Drosophila melanogaster: one gene and its partner. The protein of the gene in region 1 interacts with the protein of each later gene in a pairwise test. Each region holds a gene or a part of one and is shown in the gene's direction. Other genes may lie near its edges.

Region 1 (3,754 bases):
TTTTTTTTTTTTTTTTGGCAAATTCAATCTTACTCGAGATGGCAGGCCAAAAGGAGGAGATCTTGTGCTGTGACTTTGAGGTGCGTGGCAGGGTGCCCAAGGATGCTTTCGAGCTGTTTGCACTGGTCCAGGCCAATGCACTGGGACTGCGGGGATTCATTGCCCAGGTGTCGGAGGAGAAGTTCAAGGGTCGTCTGGAGGGCGAGGGCAAGGTGATCGATGCCTTTAAGAAGCTCATCCTGGCCGCCGCCGATTACGTGCAGGCCATCAAGGAGTTCATTATTAAGAATCTGAAAGTCATCCAGGAATACACCTACAAGACCTTCGAAATCAAGGTGAACCTAAAGTGATTAAAGGATCAAACAAAATAAAATATTTCCAATGCATAATTTTGTTTAAAACGGCTATCAAAAGTTTTATCCATTATGATTTGTCTAATATTTTTGTTGTATGGATATAACAAGGTATTTTCCAAATAAAAATTACACAGTTATATAATCACAAATTCAAAAGAGTTTCCTAAAGAGCTGATTTATACAACAAGCAATTTCCCAAAGAGAAGAACCTGTATGAAAATGCCAAACTTTTCATGGGCTCATTGTGGATTGAATGATTATTGTTGCGATTGCTGGATCTGGGCAATTCTCCAAATGACCCATGGATTCTCACTTACGAGTACTCCATCGTTGGTTCTAGGACCCATTGCGATCGTGACGAATGAGCTAATGATGTCCATGATCCGTGGGAGGGGATAACCTTGTGGCCATCGCCGCCGGCGATCGGATATCAAATCGAATCGCATGCCTCGGATGCATATACTCGTAGTAAGCTAGCGATGTTCCCGGCTGTTTGGCATGCAAATCGAAGAATCTGATCGCCACCTCGATCGACACGATGAAGGTGTACCACTGGACAACAGCGAACATATAGCCACGGATGGTTATTTATGCGTTCGCGGATACAACTGCCGATTCACTGAGTTCCAGACTTCTCAACCAAATAGCACTGGTTAACAGGCCAGTGAGAAGTGGTAGATTTGAAGTTTAGTTTTTCTATATTAAGAAGATCATCTTAGTCGGCTAAGCACAAAACGTTACCATCTCAACACTGCACATCGGGGGGAATTATCAAAGTGTTCTTTTGTAGGCCAGTGTCGTGTATCTGCAGTGATATATGGACAGCTAAACTATCTTGGCTCAAGCAACGTTACAATTTTATGGGTCAATTTGCGGACGGCCATTACTAGAATTTGTGTGTGTGTGTGTGTGTGCAACAGGTAGCCAAGTGTGTTTTACACAGAGGAAATTAAAAAATCCTTGGTATAAAAATCCTTCCTCCTGAGAAATCTTAAGGTTCAAATATATTCCAGTGAAGAAACTAACCAAATATTAAATACTATTAAATTTTAAATACTATACTATTAAATATCAAATACTATTAAATATTTTAAAGAATTATCTGTAAGTAATACAATTTTCTCGCTGTGTATCTATGAATGTAAGCAATGAACCTATATGCGAAAAGCCACAAAATTGAGGGAAATTAACCTAGGCGGCGACTGCGACTTGGACTAATGCGGTTGCCGCGAACATATATGTTTATACATATGTTTGAATCCCAAGTCTGGATCCGAATCGGTATCCAAAATCAGAATTAGCCGCTTAATTGCAGCGCTGTGGCAACGCCAGCAAACCGGAAAGAACGGCGACAATGATTGCCAATCCGATTCGCAAGCAATCAGTGCTGACTGTACGTCATAACACCAATAGAAGCATAATTAGTATAATTATAAGTTATAAAAAGTAAAGAGTATGAGAAACAGCTACTACATTTAGTACACAATACATTGATCTTTTGGAAAATATGCTTATGAAAGTGATTGAATCCTTAGCCAACAAGTTAAATAACTGCATGAATCTCTAAAGTACAAGTTATATTCTTCAATTTTCAAGTAATTCGTACACATAAACGTTTGCAATCGAATGAGAATGTCATTTCGAAGATGACTCTTTTTTTTATAAGCTTTTGAAAAAAGCTAAGCTCTCATCTCTGATCGCCGGCGCGCCGCAGTCGCGTCGCAGTCGCCGTTCGCTGCTTCCAATTCCGACGCTCTGCAGCTCAGTTTGCTTTGAGCGCTGGAACGCGAAAGTCGTCGACGGAGGGCCAACGTTGCGGATGAAAGTTTCGAAGCGAACTGGGAAGATTTTTGAAAAGCGCAGGCGTGCAACGGTTTTTTTTTTTTAGTTTTTCTTTTTTTTTTTTGGGGGGGTTTGGGCTACGCTTCGCGGCGAGCGGTGAATGGCAGCCTTTTTTTCGAGTGTGGTGGCTGAGTGCAATTCAAAACGCATTTCGTGCATAATTTGTGGAATTTTACGCGTTGTAAAATCAATTTCATTGTGCAAATTTGAAAACTTGCCTGCTTTCCGTTGGCTTTCAGCGGCAACAGCTGAAATATAATGCAGCCACATCAAGCGGGCAAGCAATAAACAAATATCAAAAAAAAAAAAAAAACCAAGAAAATTTACAAAATATAAAAACACACACATTTGAAGAGTCAACAACAGCGATTACAAGGCACTAAAAACCAAAGGAAGAGGTGAGCAAATATTTCCATTCATTTGTTATTCTTTCGTTGGGCTTAAAATATTTTCGTATTTTTTTTTTCTTGTTGCTGTCTGATTTTTCGTTTATTTTGGTTTCGCTGATTTTTTTAATTCGAATGGAGTACACAGAAAATAATAGAATATGTTGAAAATTGTAAGATTTAAACATAATAATATATTTATTATGTGGCATTTGAAATTGAAAACGTGCTAAAATCAATTTGAATTCGACCTGCCTAGCTTGATTAGAACAAAGTAGTACATGCTCTTTTCGCACAGTGTGCCTATCCCAGCTGGCTCACACACACACAGGCACACGCACAACCTCTTTAAAGTTGTCGCTGTTGTTGTTGTCCTCATTTATCTGGACTCAAAGAGCTGAAGTTCGGAGTCGCGGACTCAAAAACTCTGAGCCGTCGTCTTCGATTATTGAGCCGTTTGACTTTTTCCCAACTGCCAGCGAACCTGTTGGCCCCACAGGCAAAAAACAAAAACTACAGCGAAAATATATACGAAACTGGTGAAAAAAGTAGATATATATACATATATATATATATATATATGAAAAAAAAAGATGAAAAAGATGCTCTGGTCAGCCTCTAGAAATAAGCAAGTATCTGTCTTTGAGCTCTTTTCTCTTCTCAATCTTTTGCTTTTTTGCTTTTTTTTTACACTCGTAAAGCCCATAAAGTGCCGCATATACTTGACCTATCCGAAACTGCGGGTTCTACCCGGGGGGAATGGATAATGGATAATGGATAATGGATAATGGATAATGGTCGCCGAAGTGGCCGAGTTGCTTACTGGGTTGGGTTGGCCAGTTGCACTTGGCCTTAAATCGCTTTATTTTACCTGGAAAATCTCTAATTCGTTCCGACGGAATTCAGCGATTTTATGTTGAAATGTCAAGTGCAGAAAAATAAAGTGGTTCTAATAAATATGCAAGTGAAATACATAGATCACTAACAATCCCCTAGATACCTCTTAAAAAACGATCTTTATTTTAAATATACTCATATATAAAGTTTATGAATATCCTTAGTGAATGCAGTAAACAGAAGGCAATATAATATGTTTTTGTAAGTGAAATACTACTTATTTAGAATAATATTCTATAATATATTTGACAAAGACCTGATTTTTTGTTCACT
Region 2 (3,754 bases), on another chromosome or scaffold:
TAGATTTGATTCACGTTGGCTGCTTGACTCAAAGGATTCGAATAAATTGTCTGATTTTGATTTGAGCCATGATACCGATAATACATATGCTCACCGCAAACTTGATCAATTTCAGATTTCGACGAATCTCAATCGTATAACCAAGAGTGGAATGAAAAGGTAAAGGATTTCGCCATGAAATCCTGCTCACTGTTGATCTAGATGTTGTTCTTTGCCGTTGTCTATCCTTATTTATCTATTTCTCTCTGTACATGCACTCGATATCCGAAACATAATTCGAATATATATCTATATATCCTGTAGCTAGTGTAGTGATTGCTACTTTCCAATTGCCTTGCATGCCAAAGATCTTGAGTACGATTAAAGAGAAAACATGAGGCTTCGATGACTTATTTTAATACAGATTTCTATGTTTCCACAGGCAAATGCGAATAGCCAATGGCAGGAGCAGTTTGCACAATGGAGTCTTAATTCGCAGAAGAACTAAGAACTGGCTACCAGTGGAAACCGCAGGACTGGGAATCTCCAGAGGCAGCTGGATGGATGAAGACGAATTCTCGCTTAGCTTTCTACCTTACCTTAACTCATACGTTGACTTAGAGCAATTTATTTATTGATTATTTTACTGAGCCGTAGCCTACACTACCTTAATCATTATAATTTATACTTTGAAGATTGCTATCTACACAGAAAACACAGATATGTAAACGGATATATGCATCTATATGATTATTTTACTGAAGCAAAAGATATGAATATAGCTGATAAAAAAGACTTGCAGTTGCACTGCTCTTCGAAGTCGCAAAACCATTGAATCTCGTTGAAACTTTTACGATCGTACTGCTAAAGGGCAATAAGAGGTATGGTGTTTTAATTTTAGGTTTCCGCGATTCGTAATTGGCTTTTAGATTGTGTAAGCGCCCCCGTCAGCGGATATTTATTACCAAGAAACTTAACAAATGGAAAATCAAATCACGTAATGCGTAATACAAATACGATATAGACATTGACATATTATGTACTTAATAACTAGCAACTTGTTGAGAACCTAAAATCAAATTCTAAATGCTCTACATTATATATATATATACATTATACACTTTGAGATACGATAAAGCCAACAACTATTTGAATCACATGAAAGAGAAGCCCAATGTTGAACACTAAAACGAAAAACTAAACACGATTTATATATTATCCATTTATAATATGCATTCATACAAAAAAGTTATACCATATAATCGTAACGGCATAGAGCACGATATAGAGAAAATCCGACATTTATAGAACTTATACATAACTACTGAATAAAATAACAAGAAAGAGAAAATTAAATAAAAAGGCATTTTAAACAATCACAAAGAATGAACGTTTTTATTTTGAAATGAAGTTACTAGCTTGAAATTTCATTTTAAATTTCAAATTAATTTGAGGATGCCATTGGTTCCAAGAGGAATGGCGTTGCCATCTGATTTTCGAGTGTGTGTCTCCACTTAGTATATCAACCATATGCTATCTCTGGTTTGAGTCTGAGCTATGTTGCATACCGATAACACTACTGTCTTTATTTAGGCACATTCAAGGTGCCCATCTCCAGGCAAGTTGCGCTCTTGATGGCGCACTTTTCAAAGCCAGAGATTCATTCGTTTCGCGACTTTCGAACTGTGAAGTTGTCTCTCCGGCGCGTTATCTCCGTCTTGGCCAAAACTCGTGACTGATCGAGAGAAGAAGTCTGAAACCAGCTCTGAGCGAGAAGACAAGTGTGGAGACTGCAGTTCAGCATCCGCGTTTGCTGTGCTCAAGAAAGAAACGGCAATAGTTGTCTTCGGTTTCTTGGAGACGTCTTCGCCGCGCTCTCACCCTATTTGGAGAAGATTGAGATCTTGGAGCGCAGCTCTTGAGAAACACTACATATATTAAATCGCGCGCTTGCAGGGTGTGGTGCTAAAAGTCAATTTCTAAGATGTGGCGGCCGAGTATCTCGAATTGCGTGTGGAGCACCCTGCTCCTGGCCATTTTTGTGCAGCAAACGCTAGCACAGCGAACCCCGACCATATCCTACATCACGCAGGAGCAGATCAAGGATATCGGCGGCACAGTGGAGTTCGATTGCTCCGTCCAGTATGCCAAAGAGTACAACGTGCTGTTCCTGAAGACGGACAGCGATCCCGTCTTCCTCTCCACGGGCTCCACGCTGGTCATCAAGGATTCGCGCTTCTCGCTGCGGTACGATCCCAACTCGTCCACCTACAAGCTGCAGATCAAGGACATTCAGGAGACGGACGCGGGCACCTACACCTGCCAGGTGGTGATCTCCACCGTTCACAAAGTGAGCGCCGAAGTGAAGCTATCGGTGCGCCGTCCCCCCGTCATCTCGGACAACTCCACGCAGTCGGTGGTGGCCAGCGAGGGCAGCGAGGTCCAGATGGAGTGCTACGCCAGCGGCTATCCCACACCCACCATCACCTGGAGGCGCGAGAACAATGCCATTCTGCCAACTGGTGAGTTTCTTCATTTATTTGTGGGTGATTATCTTGGGTTACGCTGGGTACGCTGGCTAAGTCAGCTTTCGTTTGGTGGGGCGCGTTCTCCACTTCTCTCTCTCCCTCTTCGCTCTCTCTCTCTCTCCGTTCTCTTGGCTCCCGCTCTCTGGTCAGGTAGCTCTGTCCGTCCCGCTTTGGCATTAGGTTTTAGCTGGGATGGCTGGGAATGGGGGCTTTTAACTGGGCTCGATGCTCTGGGCTCCAGTGTGAGTGACCGTGACTCACTCAGGCGTCACCTTAGTTTTTCAGTTTTGTTTACTCGGCTTGGGCTGGCTGTTCTGGTAAACGGGGTCTAGCCCTGCCCTGCCACCCCCCACCTGTTTCGAGGGCTGAGTTTCGCAACAGCAGATTGATTTTTCATTTTAGGCCGTTTTCCAACTTCTGTCGTTCGAAAACATACACATGCTACCCTTTGTTTACCTTGTTGGGCCTTAGAAGATTGTTTCGCAAAGAGGTCTAACCAAATAACAAGGGAAAATCTAATTTCTAGCAAGTTTGTTAGCTCAAGAATACATTAAGTTGTGCGAAAAAGTTTGATTGTTATTTAACTTAGCAAGGAACTCAATTCTAGCTTCTCTCTTTCTAAATCCATTTTATTATTCATTACTTTTGAAGAAATCAGCACGTACATATGTATGATATTTGGCTTTTGTATAAATACATGTTCTTTTGATTATTAGAATAATGTATCATCGATATTTGCGCAAAATGAAATTTCTTATCCATACACTTGACGAGTTTGGAAAAACCCAAATGGGGGGGTTATATATGTACATGCCAGAAATAATAAATTTATTTTTCTTCACCTTCTTTATGTTCCTCCCATTCCAAGAAAACGGTCCATATTTCTCGGGAAACTCCGTTTCGGACAAGTGCAAATGCTATCTACAAATTGTTTGCGTTTACTTGTCCATCCAGAAATTCTCGAAAGGAAGAGAAAAGCTAATAAAACACTAAAGTAATTTGGTGCCCAGGTAGATGGAACAATAGAATCTTCTCGCTAGGTTAATCCCATACAGGTGCTGCTGTTCCATAGCGATCTCGATGCGATCTTTACCTGAACTCCGACCCTCGGGCAAAACATAATGGCTGTCCTTAACAAGATTGCAGCGTCATTTGGAAAGCAATTAGTGTAACTAATCCGAGAGTTACTCATTACCCAGAACCGACTCGCGGACACACCCTACCTGGGCTTCGTTACATCCGATAGC

The links. The genes of interacting proteins can lie anywhere in the genome.
Region 2: the proteins of CG15365 (region 1) and Lac interact in a two-hybrid assay, tested with the Drosophila melanogaster proteins (one large-scale study listed by BioGRID).

The regions. Positions count from the first base shown.
Region 1 is NC_004354.4:9,066,350-9,070,103, reverse strand, and holds the start of CG15365 (uncharacterized protein), read left to right. Parts: upstream 1-2,120; 5' UTR 2,121-2,596; intron 2,597-3,754. Other genes in the region: CG10970 (uncharacterized protein), read left to right, coding at 39-350.
Region 2 is NT_033778.4:12,451,554-12,455,307, forward strand, and holds the start of Lac (lachesin), read left to right. Parts: upstream 1-1,636; 5' UTR 1,637-1,963; coding exon 1,964-2,501; intron 2,502-3,754. UniProt on the Drosophila melanogaster protein: Required for normal tracheal development and maintenance of the trans-epithelial diffusion barrier. Functions as a homophilic cell-adhesion molecule. May play a role in early neuronal differentiation and axon outgrowth.